Linked DNA regions of Styela clava. The protein of the gene in region 2 interacts with the protein of the main gene of each other region in a biochemical or structural test. Links are inferred from orthologs where the notes say so. Each region holds a gene or a part of one and is shown on either strand. Other genes may lie near its edges.

Evidence for each region. The genes of interacting proteins can lie anywhere in the genome.
Region 1: the proteins of heat shock factor protein-like (region 2) and co-chaperone protein daf-41-like form a complex in vitro, tested with the Homo sapiens proteins (2 studies listed by BioGRID). The link is inferred for Styela clava from reciprocal best matches to the Homo sapiens genes HSF1 and PTGES3.

Annotation. Positions count from the first base shown.
Region 1 is NC_135259.1:4,437,318-4,447,530, reverse strand, and holds the start of co-chaperone protein daf-41-like, read right to left. Parts: upstream 4,271-10,213; 5' UTR 4,113-4,270; coding exon 4,093-4,112; intron 3,549-4,092; coding exon 3,365-3,548; intron 2,449-3,364; coding exon 2,350-2,448; intron 1,678-2,349; coding exon 1,525-1,677; intron 1,273-1,524; coding exon 1,173-1,272; intron 148-1,172; coding exon 59-147; 3' UTR 1-58. UniProt on the Homo sapiens protein: Cytosolic prostaglandin synthase that catalyzes the oxidoreduction of prostaglandin endoperoxide H2 (PGH2) to prostaglandin E2 (PGE2).
Region 2 is NC_135263.1:6,647,320-6,657,710, reverse strand, and holds the start of heat shock factor protein-like, read right to left. Parts: upstream 4,346-10,391; 5' UTR 4,262-4,345; coding exon 4,133-4,261; intron 3,604-4,132; coding exon 3,495-3,603; intron 3,115-3,494; coding exon 2,990-3,114; intron 2,459-2,989; coding exon 2,337-2,458; intron 1,931-2,336; coding exon 1,855-1,930; intron 1,148-1,854; coding exon 1,089-1,147; intron 235-1,088; coding exon 54-234; intron 1-53. Other genes in the region: uncharacterized protein LOC120340514, read left to right, coding at 7,487-10,391. UniProt on the Homo sapiens protein: Functions as a stress-inducible and DNA-binding transcription factor that plays a central role in the transcriptional activation of the heat shock response (HSR), leading to the expression of a large class of molecular chaperones, heat shock proteins (HSPs), that protect cells from cellular insult damage.

The DNA.
Region 1 (10,213 bases), on a different chromosome or scaffold from region 2:
TCTGTTGTATGATTTAGGCGAGCAATAGTCTTCCATTGAATGTCAGTGTCTGAGGAAATCATGCTTTTACTTGAGTAGGTTCTTCAGTTGTTCCGTTATCTGTTGGTTTACTTTCAGCTGCATCACTGGGTTCTAGATCGGGTACGTCTGTAAATAAGACAAAAAAAGTATTGAAAAAAGAAAACGCTACTTCTATTTCAGTGGTGAAAACATTTTTCGTTTAATTCCCCCCAGACAATGCATAAAAAACTATTTGGTGTGAGGTTGCAATTTAACATACAAATAGGGCTGTAGGCTGCATGAAAATATGAGAACCAAGATGTTTGAAGATTATAGCATGAGATTCTAAGACTTAAGTTACATTTTACTGGTATTTGGACAAAATAAGACTCTTTTAAATTTTACTACAAAATGAATTTCCTCGAAATTCAACATTGAAATTAATTCTAAAAATCAAAGCATTCATTTATGGATTTATGGACATGAACGTCCATATCATAGGCTACCAAATTGAGAAGTATCAGTATGCTGAGAAATCGTAAGTACAGTAAATGAGAGAGATCCAATAAAAGGTAGAGTTCACCGCACCAAAGGAGCAAAAGCATAGTTAACATTGAACATTAATAAAATGAAATCTAATTTATATTAGGTATACTAGCACTTGTTTTTGTCGAACCGAATTTTATACACCTTGTGTGATGTACAGGTTGACTGTGCCCAAAAAATCGGAACCTAATGTAAACCAGTCGGCAGCGGCTTGGTATATTTTACTGTCATTAAATATTATTGTAATTTACTGTAATTCTGAGCGTTGGTGGGGCTTTCTACAAAAGATTCAACAAATCTTAACTTGATATAGTTCTTCCTAGAAAGAAGCCAAATGAAATACGTTCAGTCTATAATGAAATAAAGAACTTGAAAACTGTAAAAAAAAGTTGCGACCCATTTTTATACCTATTACGACTTATAGTTTGGGAACAGCTATGATGTGTAATAGGTGAGGACAGGAGTATTTGGCTTCATGCCTCCCCTTTCATCGAAATCCAAGGCTTACAACAAAAAACTGCAGTAATCTTTTTGATTCACAGCAGCCAGAGCTTCAGGAACAAAATGCTGTCCAGTCATAAACACTCGCTCTGTTTTCTATAAAAATCTAATATATTATTAAATACCTTCATCATCACTATCAGGTTCACTGCCTTCATCATCATCGCCATCATCCAGATCACCAAAGTCAGCGCTTCCAGTTCCCCTTCCCATCTGTTGTAGCATCTATAAATAATGAGGTCATAAAAATAAATGAATATATTTGTAGTGAATACATAATGAGCTGCAATGAAATTGACTACACTGAAATCACACAAAATTAGCCTCAATAAAGGTTTATTATTAATAAGAATATTTAATAAGCAATCGAAGAATCGTGTGTAAAACTTGATTTGATAATCAAAGATATTCTTTCAAAAGCATACACTAATTTTACCCATTACAGTATCACATAACAGTTTTCAAAAACATTTTTACCTGAGAAAGATCAGGTTGTTGACCTCCACCCATGCCCATGCCACCACCCATGCCCATGCCCCCACCCATGCCCATACCCCCCATTTCTGTATCATCATCTGACGATTCATCTTCATCTTTCCACTTGTTGAAATCAATTTTCAACCAATGTTGCTGAAATCATAAATGAGTTTGTTTAGATATCGTAGTATAGTCAAATTAAATACCAGGAACAGTTGTGTATATTTTCCATGCAGTTTAAATGCCTAGAAAAACTCAATAAATTACATTTTAAAATTCACCCACATTAATTAAATCAGTCATAAGTGGTTCCCAAACTGCAGCCCACGGGGCAATAACGACCTGAGTAACGATTTACTATGGCCCGCCGAACTTGAGTGAAATAGTTTAACACTTTGTTACATCATTATCAAAGTTTGAGCATGTGTATATAAGTAACAATTCAATTATACCAGTATCTCAAATATGCTTACAGTAACAGCCCTTGCGGGCGCTCCCCTCTCTGGGTCCACAAATACCCTCCCGCTTCTAGTTTTGGCCCCCGGTCAATCGACTTCGGTAAACCCCAAATTAAATCATTGCGTACCATTGGCAATATCTCAAATTATATATCGGGTTGTATTCAAAGAGAGTAATAAAATGCCATGTTTGTCCATGTGAAGTGATTCAAGAGTCTTGCTGCACACTAACACAAATATATTTCTATAATGCTTCGTCTGACCAAGGTCGGACTTCTTCAGACATACATAATTTTGTTAGGTGTCGATTGTAACCATTTGTGTCGATGCAGATAATTACTTTCATTGTATAATTTAAAGAATTTACCTTCATTTTTGCGTCTAACAGTCTTGGCCAGAACGGACCAGATTCCTTCTTTTGTGCTTGTACATATATTAGCCTTGATGTTTTCTTCACTGTGCATTGCTAAACACAATTTAAACACAAACTTTACATATAAAAATATTCACACAAAAAGTTCCAAATTTTATTAGCCTGAGTTAATAAGATATTGAGTCAGATTCAATATTTTCAACTCTCTAATTAACACGTGAGAAGGAGTAGATATTTCTAACAAAACAAAGTTAGTTGGAAATTTTGGAAATTAACCCTGTTAACTACACCTTGTTATATGCCTTGCAGGTCTTTCTACACAAATTGATTTGCACAAACAGTGACCAAGTGGTTAAAGTGTTAGACTAAATTATGGTGGCACTTCGGATTCAAATCCCATGCCTGCCATCTAACTCGGGGTATAATAAACGGCGCTCCAGAAGTGTGTGTACCAATATGAATTTACAGTAAATAATTTTGTTCGCATACTTTACATCAAGTTGTGTAAGGGGACCGAAACCTATGGGTAGGGGGGTATATTCACTTGGCTAACACAGGCCGTCCCCGAACTCGTGATAGAACTAAAATAAGGAAAATCGGGATAACATCATGGCCTAACCCTAACCTGATTCACACACAACAGGATTATCTAATAAACTGCTCAGGCAATGCTGAATCGAAAGAACTGATGAAGCAGCTCCTTACCTATTAGTGGTTCCCTATGCAGAGTCTTGTTAGGTGTAAAAGTATCAATACGTTGCATAAAAAAACACACAACTATTTGTATAATCTCAATCTGTATCTCCCAACCATATTAGAACTGATAATTTTGAGCAGAGACAATATTCATGAATGTGAGTATGTGACATATTATGAACATTGAACAGAAACTGAGAAAGTCGCTGTGTTAAATTGTAATGGAATAAAACTTAATTTGAATATATAATCACATCTCAATTCATGAATTATATTTTTTTTTAAATCACAAACGTAGAAAAAATTAACAAACCTTAGGATCTATTTCTTTAAATAATTCTAATTGTGAATGATATTTTTTGTTTAACGATCCACCCTGACCGTTAAATATTATTTTCTTTTCTTCGAATTTCACATCTGGATTTTTACAATCTTCGACACAAAATGATATCAGCAGTAAATCTTTTCGCTGTGCCCATATTGTTGGGACATATTCACTATGAAAATAAAAAAATAATACAATTAACTTGTGGACTCTGTTAATTTTTGAAAACATTTCCAACCTGCTTTAAGACTTTGTTCCAACAATTTTGGTTAAAAAATTAGAAATTCACATCAAACTATTTACTAAATATGTCTATTTGTAATTTCATTGATAACCAAGATTCAAGCTGGTTAAAGATTGGCTTGAATTCTGATACTCATTTTTGTTAGTGGTGAACAAATGGTATTCCCGTGGTATGTGAACCAAGAAACCAGAACGTAGTATGTGTATCAGGTTAGGCCATATTTTTATTCCAATTTTCCTTATTTTAGTTCTATTACGAGTTCGGGGACTAGCCAAGTGACTCCCGTAGTATTTGTACCTGAAATTATGGCCTAACCATTACCTGGTAAACATACTACATTTCGGTGTCCGCCATCTTGGTTCACATACTACAGGAGTACCGAACAAATTTACCATCGTGATCAAACTAGGAAATATGGGGCAAGAGATAAACAAACAGGCTATAGAACAAAAGCTAACAGAGTATAGCTTACCATGAATCTCCTGAAGACATTTTGTATTTGAATATAATGCAACGTCTAGTTCTGAAGTTTATTGAAAACGAAAAATTAATAACAACAAAAGTGAGTTCTGAATGTTCTCAGCTTCGAGCAGGTGTGAAGAGATATCCTACTGAAAATTGTAAACTATTAATGCTGTAAAACACAGATAATACCCAAGTTTATTGTTGTTATCGTGTTCACACCAGATTTTCTCAGACGAACCTTTTCAATGACCCAAGGTCTCAAAACGCCTAACTTTCAAAAGGTGTAAGTTCTAGTTAAAATGTAGATGATTGGAAAGCTAATTCTGTAACTGGTAATCGAACCCCAGGCCTCAAGTTTCCAATTTTATATACCTAACCTTTTCTGATTCTGTTCACCTTTCTACAAACTCTGAAACTGGCAAATCTCATTCATCAGCATCAAAAATTTATTCAAGCCAGCATAGGTATCATCAGATGTCGCAATAATTACGTCACACTCACATCGTAGAGCTCGACAAAGTATAGCTGCTAGCTATCTGCGCCGCCAATAACAAACTCACAAATATCGGCGATCTGTCTCATATGAGGGTCGTTGTGTCGAGAACACAAGAGAAATAGCTTGCTCAATTTCAGGTGATGGTCTACGCGCAGACGCGTTTTGGATGACCGGCGACGGCAGGTGGGGGTTAGGAATGACATAGCCTATGCAAAAATTCAGAAATTGTTGAGCCGGGGCCAACTAGAAGTGCATGTGGTACTAAACTACCGGTATACCAGCAGACCTCAAAGTTTGAGGTCAATCTGTCAATAGTTTTATAAATAAACAAAACTCAAAAAGTATAATTTGGAGGGTTACTGGGTTAACAGACAGTTTGAAGACAGACTGAAATCTCCGACTATTAGAAGCATATTTACAAATTTTGATTAGTCTAATACACCAAACTCTCAAAAGACCAGATAATGTCAAACAGTCAAATGAAGCTTATGACATGATCCAGGTACGGTACCGGTGGACTATCTGAGTACCGTACCGGTATGCTGGACCTTACTGCCTTATACAGTTCAGCAGTGGCAACAGTACATAATTATCTTTCAACCCTTTCAACCAACATTCCAGATGTTTCTTCTGTCAGTCTGTCCTAAGCCTGTAAACCAGCGTCAAACTTCAACTAACTACAGAACTACGGATTCAGTTCATAAGGCTATGTAAAAAGATGACATATCAAAATCTAGGTACACTTGCAGACTTGCCTCAGTCCTTACTTTCAAATACAGAAATTCATAGAACGCCGGCATGTCAAAAACACATCGAAAAGAGGGAGATAAGCCGACGCAAGCCCTTGTAAATGGGGAAATGTCGCAAGGTAGTGAAGCACCCGTCGCGAGCAGCACGTGCGCGCCGTGACGCCATTTGTTAATCAACGACCAAATGGCAGATTTATATTTTGAAATTTCAATGCGGGATTCGGGTATTTATTATTTTTTGTTGTTGTCAGGGAAAGCAAAGTACCAACTACATCTTATGATAAATTAAATTTTTCATAACCATAGAGTATACATGACGAAAACACGAATGTACGTTTCCTGAGCGCCACAATTTTAACTGTTTATTCACAGTGTTTCGTTTTGATTTAAGGCCATGTGGCTCTGAATTGATTAATATGTTTGTGAAATTAAACCAATTATCTGTCCTTGTTTAGCGGCTGTAAGATTCCACAAAAATAGTGCAAATTAAAATAAAAATAGCGTACTACGTGATCAATTCTTTTTTCGCTCCAAATAGGGAGTCTACTGATACAGTCTTCATCCCCATTTCTCCAAAATCCAAATGCTTTGGGCGAAATGTATAATAGCTAGGCTTACCACACGTCCTGCTTTAGGCGGGACAGTCCCGCTTTCTAACGTCTTGTCCCGCCGTCCCGACAAGTCAGCCCAAAGCCATCAGTTCAGCCATCCAGCATATTAGGATATAATAGGATTTACATATTTATCCCGGGTGAGAGGAAAGCCGATAAGACGGCTTATCCATATGGCGATTCACGGCCTCTCGTCCGGTTACCATTCCAAGTCGGGCATGGGATTAGTTATATTGTTTTGTTTTTGTAAGCATGGACTTAATGGTGGAGGAAGCCGTAACCGACCAGCGGTTACGTGAACCACCCAACGACGGCGCGGAGTCCAGCAATCCTCTCGCACATAATCATCCCTGCATGAGATTCGAACCTGCGAACCCACGCAGAGTAATTAGAGGTGCGGTGGCGAGCGTATTCCTAACGCTTAGCCCGTTGAGCCACACCGCCGCGCCACACGAACATGTTCTCGTTACTGTTGTTGCTGTGTAGCGCAACACTAGCCTACTTACTGAAGGTGAATGAGCTATTTTGTTTGTTTCGTCGTTTCCCGCTAATATTGTTAGCGAACGTATCACGTGTAAAATCATTCTATTTGGTCCTGTTCGGACGTTCACGTGAATGTAACATTGTAACATCTTTTTGACGATGTTATCTACAGAAAAGCATGCTTGGGCGAATAGATAAATTCTCTATGCTTTGTAGTCAAAAAAATATGGTAACCCTAATAATAGCTAAAAAAATTAGGATAGCTATAAATTAGCCTTTACTCCCCAAAAATTGAATATTTTTCATTCCAAAGGTTACTAAAATAAATACGGCCGAATAAATGAATTTGTCTAGATATGAAGAGCCCCACCTCTCTAGCTTTAAAAATCGAAATGTGAATATTTAGAATTTTGAAAAGTTATTTCCCCTAAAATGCCTTAATATGCTGAACAAGAGAGCTACGCACAAATATATGGAAACGTTAGACCAGAGCGAATCAGTCCTTACCGGTACCTTTGACGCTACCGGTACCCTCAAAAAAGTTCTAAATTTCCAGTAGCAAGAATTTTGCAGAATCAAAACGTTCAGCCAGTCATGACACTGACTAAAATCCGTGTTCCCATGGATAAAAAATAATACAGCAAAATTTTTGACGAAATATCAAATTTCATAGAATTCACGCAAAATTTTGAAATAAATAAAAGTAATAGCCTTCTAGCGAAAAAATTAATCTTTAACCACTGAAAATTTCAAAGCAATTGGTCCAGTATTCGAAGAGAAAAGCGACTTTTTAAAAACGTGTCAAAGAACAAGAACAACAACATAATATTGAAACGATCGTTATGTCCACTACGTGTCCAAAAAGGGGATCCTATTGATAGTTATATATATATACCTATACTAATTTATTTGGGCAAACACAAATATGATAATTGCACACGTAGTGAACCTATGGATCGTTTCAACATTATGTTGTTGTTCTTGTTCTTTGACACTTTCTGGACACCTAGTGGAAAATCGAAAAAGTCGCTTTTCTCTTTGATTACTGGACCACTTGCTTTGAAATTTTTAGCGGTTAAAAAGGATTTTTTTCTCCAGAAGGCTATTACTTTTATTTATTTCAAATATTTCTGTTGGCTCTGTGAGATTTGTTTTTGTTTGCTATGACGTCACCCAACGTTCTGCGGACTCATATGCTGGCACTGCTCTTCATGTCTTTTAATCACGTGCAATCAAACGTCGGTGGTTCGTATTGGAATCCTTGCTTTGCTAAGATTTGAAGAATGGCGAATAGTGTTATATTACAGTAGTGACTCGGATCGTTGGTGTTACTACAGTTGTGAGTCGCACCATCTTGCAATTTCAATTCCCGCTATCACAAGATAGGATCTTCTAAAGATAGGGCAGTTCCGGTAGCGCGGTGACACTGAACTAACTCGTAGCTGTCTGGTAAAAGCGGGGCTTGTTTTTTAAATTTTGTTCCAATAATGGAGAGAAGTGAATGAAACGGATTACTTAGTATTTCAATTCATATTGCAATTGAATGGGGAAGAGTAGATCATTGTCACGGGACATGTGAAATGGGAGGCAGACGACAACTCGACTTCAGATAGACCTGGTGAGTTGTCCATGTAGTCGAATTGTCCATCAGCCCTAAACGGCTATGACAGTCACTGTACCAAAATTTGTACCCCGATTCAGGTGGTGTTAAGTTGACGCATGTTATTTAGTAACGTTTTCATGTGCAATGTATGACTGTGGTTCGGTACCCGGTCCGGTAAAATTTAAAAATTCATTTATGACGGCCTAATACATATTACACTACCATATGTCGATATAACATAGGCACAGAAAACATTATTACGTCATTGCTGACGTCATGGGCATTATAGATGGCATAGCCTGGGATAACGAAAAACTGATCGGTTTGCGGATTACCATGTTTTTGGTGACCCGCTAAGTCACGAATTATTAAAAATAAAATACTCACATTCCAGTGATAAAAATTAATAATAAAATCGGTCATCAACTACTGGCAACAATGCTGCAACGCAGGGGTCACCAAACTACGGCCCGCGGACCGCTTCCGGCCCGCGGCGTCCTTTCATCTGGCCCGCAAAGTTTTGCTCGAAATTTATCTCTAAGAGATGTTTCTCCGAGAGTCGACTGCCTTGTTTATTTCGTAATATTGTCCAATCAGCAAGACGCAAAAAGTGACGTTACAGAAGCCTTTTCGCATCCACTCGCACTTCATTCCACTTCGTAGATTTTCAAGTATGAATCAAATATGCCAATCATCATTTTGCCTTCTTAGGAGTTCTAGTGTAATTGCAGTAATCCAAAATATTCTAGGAATAGCTATGATATAATAGGCTTAAGTTCTCTATCGGTACGCAACATTTTCTGCGAAGGATGCACTCTTGGCGCGTGCTTTCGGTGAAACTGTGTACGTTCATTGTGCTAAAATGAACGTCGAACGTGCATTTTGCGCTGATAGTACTGTAATTACTGCTCCATTTTCACAAGTCATATTAACTTTTGTACTGCTTACATGCGGCTGAGCATGACAGCAATGTTTTGCTAACAGCTAACCTCTGGATAGTTTTCTAGAACTAGACATTTTGTATATATATTTGTTTTGTTTTGATGTTTTCAATCTATATTCTGCGATACAGACTTTGATATTCAAATCTTCAGAAATGTAGAATTTATGTTGTTGAATAAATTGAATGGATTTCCCGACTTTCGTGAATTTATTGTATTGCATTGACAAAAATATTTGTACGTCGGTTCACCGTCGGAAGTGTATGGGCGAAAGGCGGCCGCAGAATGCATTGTGCGGTACACCAAAACTTTACAGCATATTCTATTACACAAACAATTTCTCTCCTATTTATGGAATAAATCTTGACACTTATCTATGAAAAAAATGCAACTTATTTTATTGAAGGCTTGTTGCGTCGAATTTATCACGTGTTACACTGTTCATACGCGACATTACGAAAAATATGACATGATATAAGTTATATGGTAATAATGATAAGTTGTGGGCCGTGAACAATTGTTTTTGTATGTTGCGGCTCTTTCGTTCATTCAAGTTGTGCAGGCCTTGAATATATTATATATTTGTTGCCATAGGCCAAATATAGGACTAATTTTGACTTAATTTGTATGGTTCTGTAAAATGTTTTTGTCAGTGCCATATTACCAGCACGAATTCTAACACTTTTTATTTATGAAGATGCCGGTATCGACAACCAAGAGATATCGACAAATCTGTCAATCATCCAATCAAGCGAAATGAGTGGTAATGACAATAAACAAATTGGAGTTATACACTATTTTATATACAGCATATTTTTATAAAAAAAACAATAACTGGTAAAATTTGCTGGCAAGGAAATTCATAAAAATTTTGATTCCCAACATATCAACTAATTATCACAAAAGTATCAGCTCTCTCAAAATTCAATAGTCAGTGACTTATGTTTAAGAAAAAAAATATTAATCAAATGTAATGTGTACCCTCTATTTTATCAATGATGATTTGAACATAATGACAGGAAATATTGTGTTGGCCCTACAAATGTGTGAAATTATGGCCGGGAGCCGCTTACTATCTAAATATTTGAGTAATTGGAATTTAGCCCTGGAATATAGTTTTGATATTATATTCGGTGATAAGTTGAAAAAATCGTAACAACCGGAACGCACCTAATTTGTAAAAATGTAGTATATTTACAATGCTTTTTTACAGAAATTTTTGTTTGTTTTAAGATAGAGCTGGAG
Region 2 (10,391 bases):
TAATCACCTATATATATATTAATATAAACGCAACCATATAACAAGAAACTAACATTATTGTCTTGAGGTTCCATCACACTGGCGGGAAATGAAACAGTTGGTTTCGTAGGTTCTTCCAGTGCTAACTGACCATCATTAGCATTGTCATCATCACTGACAAGGAGGGGTTTCTGATATTTCTTCGCAGGAACATAATTAGAAGAGCCTGACGAGCCATCTTCAATCATTAAAGGCCTGAATATAAATAAATTCGTGAAAAGGAGTATGTTATATATTATATGATGTGATACCGCTAGGTGGCGCACTGGCGCTATTGACCCTCACTGTATTTGACCTTGTATATCCGAGGTTAGGGTTCTCTTCATTGTGTGCACGTTTTTAAGTATTGACTTGGTGTTTAGTCTGTTACTGCTATGGTGTCTTACATGTCTTAATGTTGAGATGCTTGACTCTTACAATAAAGTAGTGTTGTAATGGAAACTTGATGCTTGTTTATAAATATCTAAAGCAGGGGTCTTCAACATTCGGCCTGACTATGAAAGTTAGCAAATCAGCCCTCCGCACACGACTAACGGACGAGCATTTGCATGTTGTCTTAAGTCTAGCAAACCAACACAGAATAAGGCCAAACATTGAGACCAAATATCGGGCACAAGTGAATGAATATGCTTCATGTCTCGTTTGCTGTAAGATTTAAGTGTAATTTCAACACAATACATTCAGATACCCATTTTTGTACCTAATTTCTTGGTTTGCGGCCCGAGTGGTCAACAAATTTCAAAAAGTGGCCCACGACATGTTTTGAGTTGGAGACCCCTGATCTAAAGGCAGAATACATTACAGAGTATGTCTAGTTAAATTATTGTATTATCCTCAAAAAATTTGCACATTATGCAAAACAATTTTATTTCTGACAAAATTGTTAAAAATAATCTACTAGTATCAAAAAGGGTTTTTCTCTTTATCCTTTTTTAAGATCATATCACACATAAATTAAAGCAAATTCAAAATTATTATGAGAGTTATGATAAAGGCAAAAGCAAGATAAGCTATGTTTTCTGTTTAATCAAAACATCAAGAATACTTACAGCTTCCTTTTTACTCCTATACCATGCTGGTGAACCAAGTTTACCAAGAACTGTATAAGCTGAAATGAAGGACAAAAAAATATGAAAAAAAGGATCGAATTGATATACAAATACAATATTTCAAAGGAACTTTGAAGACAATATGTTTGTTGAATATATCGATTCAAACCACACAAAGGTACACAAATAATAAGGTATCACCATTATTTATTCTCATGAAACCAGTGAGATCAATTAAAAAAAGCAAATAAGCAAAATAGTAACTGTCAGTAAAATTTAAAGGAGACTAACTCCCATGCCCTTTTGCTAGTGGATCCGTATGTGTATAATGCAAGGATGTATCGGGAATAAACATGGCCATACTATGCAATTCAAGAGTCATGCCACACTAACACAAATATATTTCTGTAATGCATTGTTGTAAACTGCTTGTATGAGAACTGTAGAGAAATACATTTGTGTTAGTGTGCAGCAGGACTCTTGAATTGCATAGTGAAGCAATATTTTGTTCCTAACCCTAACATAGGAATTAAAACTAAATTTTCTAGATTTTAAACTGATCCAGGATCATTTAAAATGACCTATCAATTCTTCATATGTAAATTTGAATAAATGTGAACTTGGTTCTTTACAGATTTAAATGCATCTTCTAATACAATTCAAAATATTAGGTGAAAAACCTAAAAATATTCGGGTTTTTATTTTCCTTCATTATCTAACAAAATTTGAAAATCCTAAATTTATCGTTATTGAATACTTTAATCACCTTATTGACAACTTTCTGTTGATGTGAATGCTTATGACGTAGATTAACAACCTCTCGCCACAAATCTTCATTCTCTCTGAAAAAAAATTAAACGAATTAATTTGTTCCCATTAATAAATTAAAAAATTATTTTTGGAAAATCATTAAAAGGTGTTAAAGTTATTGGGTGGCTTTTTATTATTAAACATTGCGAATATAATAACTGATGGAAGTCTGTTAAAAACAAAACTAGGTTTTTTATTGAAGAGCAGGGTGCCACAAATGGATGAAAGTCTTCGGAATAGGGCCACAGATCATATAAGTTAGAGAAGGACAGTCCTAGTGTTGAAAAAAAAACTAGGTAGGGGGCCAAACAAAACTAGGTAGGGGGCCACAAAGTGATGAAAGTCTTCAGAGGAGGGCCACAGATCATATAAGTTGGAGACGAACTAACCTAGAATATATAAGTTAGAGAAGTACTGTCTTAGAATATATATACATACTGCTTCAATTCTGATAGCTGCGAAGTTATGTTTTCTTGGTAGCCTTTCATTTGTTTAACATCATCGAGTACTTTGGTAACATCTTCATTGTTACGGCGATTTGATTCTTCTGGTTTTGGTACCTGGACACAAAAACAAGATAACTACAGGCTCAAATTCAAAGTATTGCCAAAATAGGGAAGAACATATATGAATAGATTGGTATTCTACAACTTCGTCTTCATCTAATTTGAATAGAATTAAGTTCTTGCATATTCAAATCAGCAGCCTAATAAAAGAGGCCATGCCTCAAATGTAATGTAATCATGTTAACAAGATTTAGTCCAAGAGCACAAAAATTGTTCATTGTGAATATTCATGCATGCATTCATGAGTTCTTATATTATAAAACTGGTTTTGAAAGTGTTTACATTTCCATTAATGTAGATTGTAGAAATATGTAAAATAAAAATAATGTGTCACTACAAACATGGTTGATAATGCCCCTGGTAATATATCGCATCACAGTAATTACCTGATAACATATTGACATCGCTGAAAAGACATTGTAAGGTTGAAATAGCTAATCTCGCAAAACCTCAATTAATAACGTAGATTATAGTGATATAAACAATAAATTATTGTATAATTCAAATAATTGAACAGATAAATACCTTTCTCTTGATATGCTCCAGAAATACTTCTTCACCACGAATGAACAAATAATGGTAAAACTCAATCTCCTCCTTTTCATTATTCAAACCACTCTGTGTTAATGATGTGATCTTGCGAAATCCATCTGACAGATTATTAAAATTGATTACTTACTCCAATATTTTTTTATAGATCTCATATTCTACTAACATTTCCATAAAGTGTATACTGGAAAAAACAAAAATTGCCAATAATGACAGGGGCTGAAGAAAATTTACAATTACTGTGTTGAAAAAATCATGACTGTGACTTGAAAAACATTCTCCCACGCCAAGCTAATGCAAATTTTGTCTCAAACTCTACCTCCGAACTCTCCCAGAACATTAAATTCAGACAGTAAAAAGTTTTGCGTATGCAAGACTTCTTTAACAAACTGTTAGTCATGCTTAGTCAACAATAATTATTCCAAAATTCTGTACAAATTTTGATTTTCATTATTACCATGAAAACTTGAAATATACTCACACATATTCAATTGTCTGACGAAACTTGCAAACTTATTATGTTTGAAATACTTAGGTAGAACAATTTTTGAAAACTGTACTTGATCTTTCACAATGAAAGATGTTCCTGCCTGAAAAAAAAAATAGATTAATCTATTCAGTCAGAAATTGAAATTTCAGAAACAAGACTTTCAATGGCAACACTGGGTGCTATTCAGCCAGTCCACAAGTACCAAGTTGCAGGCCAAGAGTCTTGATCTCAAGAGACACATGATTGAGTCATTAACCCCAGAGTATGAGCTAATTTTAACACTTGAGTCTCAAGTCAAAACGAGTCACTCCAATCATGAGTCACAATGGGAAAATATGTGATGATGTGGGATGTAAGGCTTAGTGAAAATACAATGAAATAACTTTGTAGGCAATCAGTAAATATTCATAAAGCTTACAGAGGATAACAAACTGATTTAATGCTGTGATTATGTAATACATTTCACCCCTAATAGCAAAAATATACTAATTTATAAAAATATGAGATAAGTTTATTAAACGATTGAATTACCAAATTCTGAAATTATTTAGTGCAATTATACAAATGTTACAATGTAAACATTTCTAATTCCACATTATTAAATATATAATCACACAAATCTAGACTACCTCATTCCAGTCCACATATTCGTGATTTGATTCATCTTTCAACATATTAACAAGTTTCAATAAAAATGTCGGAATATTTGAAGTTGTGGGATTTTCCATTACAGCAACAGGAGCATTAGTAGTCTCCATTTTTTAATTTGCAGTGCTAATTCTTCAAATATATAGTCTATATGGTATTTATTTACTCACATTCTTAAATACAAATAACAATAGCTCAAGTAACGAGATAAATAACCAACCAGCATGTGGATATATTGGTTTTATAGTAATAAATACCTCATTTAGGATAGGATTTACATATTTATCCCGGGGGAGAGGAAAGCCGATAAGACGACTTAATCATATGGCGAACCACGGCCTCACGTCCAGGTCGGGTACCTATGGGATTAGTTAGCCAGTTATTTTGTTTTCAGAAGCATGGACATGATGGTGGTGGAACCCGTAACCGACCAGCAGTTACGTGAACCACCCTACGGCGGCGACGAGTCCAGCAATCCTCTCGCACATCTTTCATGGGATTCGAACCTGCGAACCCCCCCCCCCCCCAAGGCAGTGGTGGGATTTAAATTTTGTGTCAGCCGGTTCTATCATACAAATGTCATATTTTCAGGCGGTTCTGTTACAAAAAGTCATGTAATGCTAACCGGTTCGCTGATCTCATAAAATTCCGTGAGACGGTCCTACACAACCGGTACCGGTACCAGTACTACCTGCACCAAGTAATCAGAGATGCGGTGGCGAGCGTATTCCTAACGCTTAGCACGATGCGCCACACCGCCGAGTCATCCTATCCTATCCTGATCGAGCCTGTTGCATTATCTGTGATTGTTGATAAACATATCTCCACATTCGAGCCTGCGTGAACCCAAATGTTTGTAACGGATAGCGATATCATATTTGCACTGTCCGAACACTCGTCTTATAGAATTTCTTATAGAAAATTTTATCTTTTATTAAAATAGCAGAAACGCGAGATCACCACAAACTGGTCAATATAGGGCAGTATAGGGATGTTTGCCCGACCTTTGACCCTCAAAATTACATTCCATAGTTCAATCAGAGCCATTATATAACCGTTATATAATGGCTCTGGTTCAATGAAGAAAGTTTTGATTTTTAGCGTAAAAGAATTATCCTTGGGTATGATTTACATATATATCCCGGACGAGTGGTCGTGGTTCGCCATATGAATACGCCGTCTTATAAAATTTCTTCTCCATAAATATAAAAATGTTATCCTTTATTAAAAACGCAGAAACGTGAGATCACCACACCCGACAATTGACCCTCGAAATTCCATTCCATTCCATAGTTCAGGGAAGAAAGTTTTGATTTTTGGTATGAAAAAAACTATTCCTGGGGTAACATCATCTCAATGGGTAACATATGTTCTGAATGACATTGTTCACGACGTTCTAATTCGAATCGTGCTAAGCGTTAGTTAGAAATACGCTCGCTGCCGCACCTCTGGATGTAGGCCATGGGTCGAAGTGTGTAAAAGATTGGCAATATCTTTTGAACCGATCTGTACGAACTGGTAACATCATTTGCCGTGCAGCTGAGCCATTATATCGACTTTCTGATCACGTTGACGTTTTCCGTTTCAATGCTGCTAGTTTAATTTATATTACGACACGCCTATGTTTAAAAATAACAAAAGTAGAGAAGGCGTTTTGACTACACAAGTTGAGTGCCTAGTTAGCTTATCAGTATAAATGACATCATTTGAACTATTGTTTTTCGCTAGTCTTCATTTGTTAATTATTTCCAAGCAATAATTATGTTAAACTCTACCTTTCATTTACTTCAAAATCATTCCGTAATGAGTCTACATCGCTCGAGGCGATAGAACTATTTTTGAAGGTTTGCTTGAACATTTTCGTATTTGTGTGAGCAAATTAATCGTTGAGAATTGTCGAGTTCCGCGGAAAAGCTGGTATCGTTTGTGTCAAATCTTTAATTTAAAAAGAACCAGTGTTTATGAGTACTATAGTTGGTAAAGAATAATTTCCACCAGAATAAATTTAACATTATTTGAGGATCAAAATTAGAAACGAGAAAAGTTATGAAATACCATGAAGTGACGAAATTGGATTGAATGTTTTTCCGATATGTCTACAGTCAGGTAAAAGTTCGTATTCCACCCAGCGCAAAAATACATGAAGATTGCAAGCTACGGTATTTGAGACTAATAGTTTGGCAAAATAACCAGGAAGTGCCTAGACCACCAAAAAAGGGTTGGCACAAAAATATAGCTAAATTTTAAAGATATTCAAAGGTAAGCGAAATACAAACGTCAGTATTCGTGAATGGACTGATAGTTGAGAAAAATAATCTACACTACCAAGGTTTTTAATTTAAATGTTACAAAACATTATTCCGGTATATATGTATAGATTAGTGAAAGGACAATACAAACTGTATTATCAAGTTGCATATTATTTATGTGTGTCCATTGAAAAATCATATGTGAACGCATATGAACACGCTAGTCCTATGACACCGGGTCAGTGCTAGATTCGCCAAATGGCAAGGTAGGTACCTCAAGCTTCAAGGGACCTCGAATCGGAAAATAATTCATTGTTTCAAATTTTATTTTTAAACTAACATTTATTTATTTGTAAATCGGGTTAATGTTTCTTGTCGCAAGTATTTTCCGTTTAAGAAGTTGTAAATTAAAAACAGCCGAATGAACGATTTTTCTAAATTTGAAAATCTCTATCCCTTGACTTGGCAAAATATGCTAATTTGAAATAATTAAACCGTTTCTACCCTGATAATGCCGTTATTTTTTAAAAGAGAGAGAGAGTTTAGAGAAAGAGTTCATTTGTTTTGTCAACCAGAAAACATATACACAACAAAAACATAATTAATAAAAAGCGAAACAGTTCTCGGTATAGACTGGGTGGCAACGATACGACCATGCGGTCATCGGAGTCTGTTACCAATTACCAACCTGTAAGTGAATACATCAATTGCGTGGAATCGGGTTTTTAAAGTTGAAGGATACACAATAACTTTATGTGTAAATGGTGGAAGACTTTAGGCAGCATATATATAAAGACATTGAACAAAATCATTACAAAAACAAATCATTACAAAGAATGATTGAAAGAAGATGAATTGAAGAATGATTGAAAAGAATGATCATATATGTCCTATATGATATATAGCTATACCAAAATTATTTAATTAAGAATATTCGATTTTTTTTAAACTATTTTCATATTATTAATATCGTGGACCCGTTCATTACATAAATTCATTATTTATTTTCATATAAATTCTTTTTTATATTTTTTTTATAGAAAATTAATACGAATATAATCTTGACAAATAACGTTTTATAATGAGATGACAATGAAGAGTTATAAAGATCATATCATCGTGTTGTTTGTACTCCAACTATGGGCAGGTATTGACGCCCAGACCACGAGCATTGTGAATAACTTAACAACGATTCCAGAGGTGTCAAATACAAACAACGCAACAACTAACGCGCCGCCAACAACAGCAGAATTCATACCCAGGGAAATAACGGATATTACATTGCCCCCTCCAAGAAATTTGCAAAGGAGAACTGCCACAACCACAACGCTGATTTTAAGTTTTCTTCCTCCCGCTAATTACCGGAATGATGCCAGATATTCACATTTTCGCATTGACTATGAAAGTGACACTGAAAAACAAAATATTGAAGTCGATAAAAACCTCGGAGGTTCTAGAATCATCGTGCCTGGATTACAAAGCGGTGTTTTATACAAAATTAGCGTCCGCACTCAAGGAAAAGATTCACTTGGAAATTATCTTTTGTCACCAGTAGCGCAAACCATCAAGGCCAGGACCGTCCCCCCTCCTATTTCAAATTTAAGAATCGTTTCTATGAAAAATCGACCAGATGAAGTGTATGTCGTTTGGGATGGATCTCCCACCCCCATTAATGGCCCAAAATATGATATTTTCACTTTAACGTACAGAATTGTAGACAAACTCACAAGTACACAAGCTTTTAAATATCGAACTCGTCCTATTGACATTCCTCATAAACAGGCTAGTGCATTCATTTCGTCATCTGCAACAAATGTTTCTCAGGCCGTGCGAATAGAATTAGGAGCAACATACAGCTTTTCTGTTGTTACAAAAAGTTTGGGAGAAGATCCAACGACAAGTTTGCCTTTGAAAATACGGTATGAGTTTAAGGTACCTGGCCCGGGTGAAGCAGATGTAGTTAGATACGACACAACATCCATACTTTTCGGTTGGGAAGATAGTTATGACATCAAAGATTCTGATGTCATCCTTTCATACTCACCGTTCGGAAAAGATGATTCGAAAGAAAAAGTCATAAATATTTCAAATAAAGTACAAGAATATAACATAACTGCTCTAAAACCAGGTGTGTTATATCTTATTTCAATAAAATATATTCGAAATAGCGTTCCGTTTGGAAAAGTAAGCGAAGCAACTGATTTGTATGCACGCACAGCTCCATCCTTACCGAACGAAATATTCATAGATAATATCACAACGACACAAGTTTTTCTAAACTTCGAATTTCTAAATATGAATGCTTCTAACGTAGTTATCATTGAATACGAGCTAATTAGATCAGAAAGACGTTCGTCACCAATTTCCTACAATCTTCAAGAAGCTACGAGTATACAAATCATTGGTCTCGAACCCGGACAGCTTTACCGAATCCACGTCACAGTTTCTACGCTAGAACCTGTAAGAACGACGTCTTCAACCAGTATGCTGACTAGAACAGTGCCGATGCCACCAAAGAGTTTCAGCGGATACGGGAAACAAGGAAAAATTTTACTCAATTGGGAAAAGCCAGATACATTGGAAACGCCAACCTTCTGGAGGTATGAAGTCGTCTACCACCCTGTCTCGGACTCGCTTAATGTGAATCGCATTTCGGTGTGGAATCGTGATGGTGCTCAACAGATGACACATTCCTTAGACAACCTTGCTGCAGGGACGCTTTATAAAATACAAATATACTGCGAAGTTGGAGACAATAGGGAAAACGATCGAAAAGCTCGCAGTGTATCATCAATCCCGCTTGTTCTCTATACTCAACCACAAAATCCTATTCTTACAGACTTGGTTCAAGTAACTCTTTCTCAGGTCAAAATACAATGGGCTGCAGTGAATGTGTCAGTTGCGAACATGGACTACTATTTACTTAATTTAACTCGCATATATAAATCTAACAGTGCGATAGAATTTCAGCCAGAATTTCTCTCCTACAAAATCCACAAACAAGAAACTGAAAAAGTATTGAAACTCAGCCTTGGGTCAACCTACCGTATTGTGTTGACTACTGTAGTGGGCGAAGGGAATTCATGGATGCAAAGTGTAGTAAATGTAAGTAATTCAAAATTATATGATACCTGGTCTCCGTACGACTCACATCAATTATTTCCTCGGCTTGTATGGAGATTTTCGAACTGTCTACGACAAGGGAGAATTGGACCTACTCAAGTATATTGCAATAATGCATACAGAAAAACTTCCTTGGATAAACTTACAACAGTAGAATTCGGTATCCAACACTGGATGGCTCCAATTCAAGGTCTCTATCGTATTACAGCAACAGGTGCAGGGTATGAGGGGCCGGGAGGAAAGGGCGCTACGGTCTCGGGGCTTTTCCACCTCCTTGAGGGTGCAAAACTTATGATTGCCGTTGGACAACAGGGAGAATACTTTGGTGACATGACCCAAGGAGGGGCCGGAGGAAGTTTTGTTGTAGCAGGTGATGGTACAAACGAGCCTATAGTTATTGCTGGTGGCGCCGGAAGCGCTTTTCGGGGAGCATCGCCATCTTCATTATCAGATGGTAGACTGAACCACACTGCCGGAGACGCTTCAGCCACTGGACAAGGATTTGGTAGTGGTGGTAAACAACAAACAGTGGGACCTGGACTACCGGGCGCATCAAACACGGCCGGTGGAGCAGGTTTTCATGGTATTTCAAGAAGCCTTGTTAATTTTGGAGACACTGCTCTTCCTGCTGTAGGATTTTTACCATTTGGTAATGCTAAAAGCGTCAACGACACAGAAAGGCAATTATATCAATCTCTTGCTGGTGGCAGATACGATATAGCAGATGGGAGATATTCTGAAGGAGGTTTCGGTGGTGGTGGATCAGGCTATATTACTGCATCAGGTGGAGGAGGTGGGTATACTGGTGGTGGAGGGGGTTCTTCAAATGGATTTTCTGGTGGTGGAGGAAGCTACATAAAATTTTCAG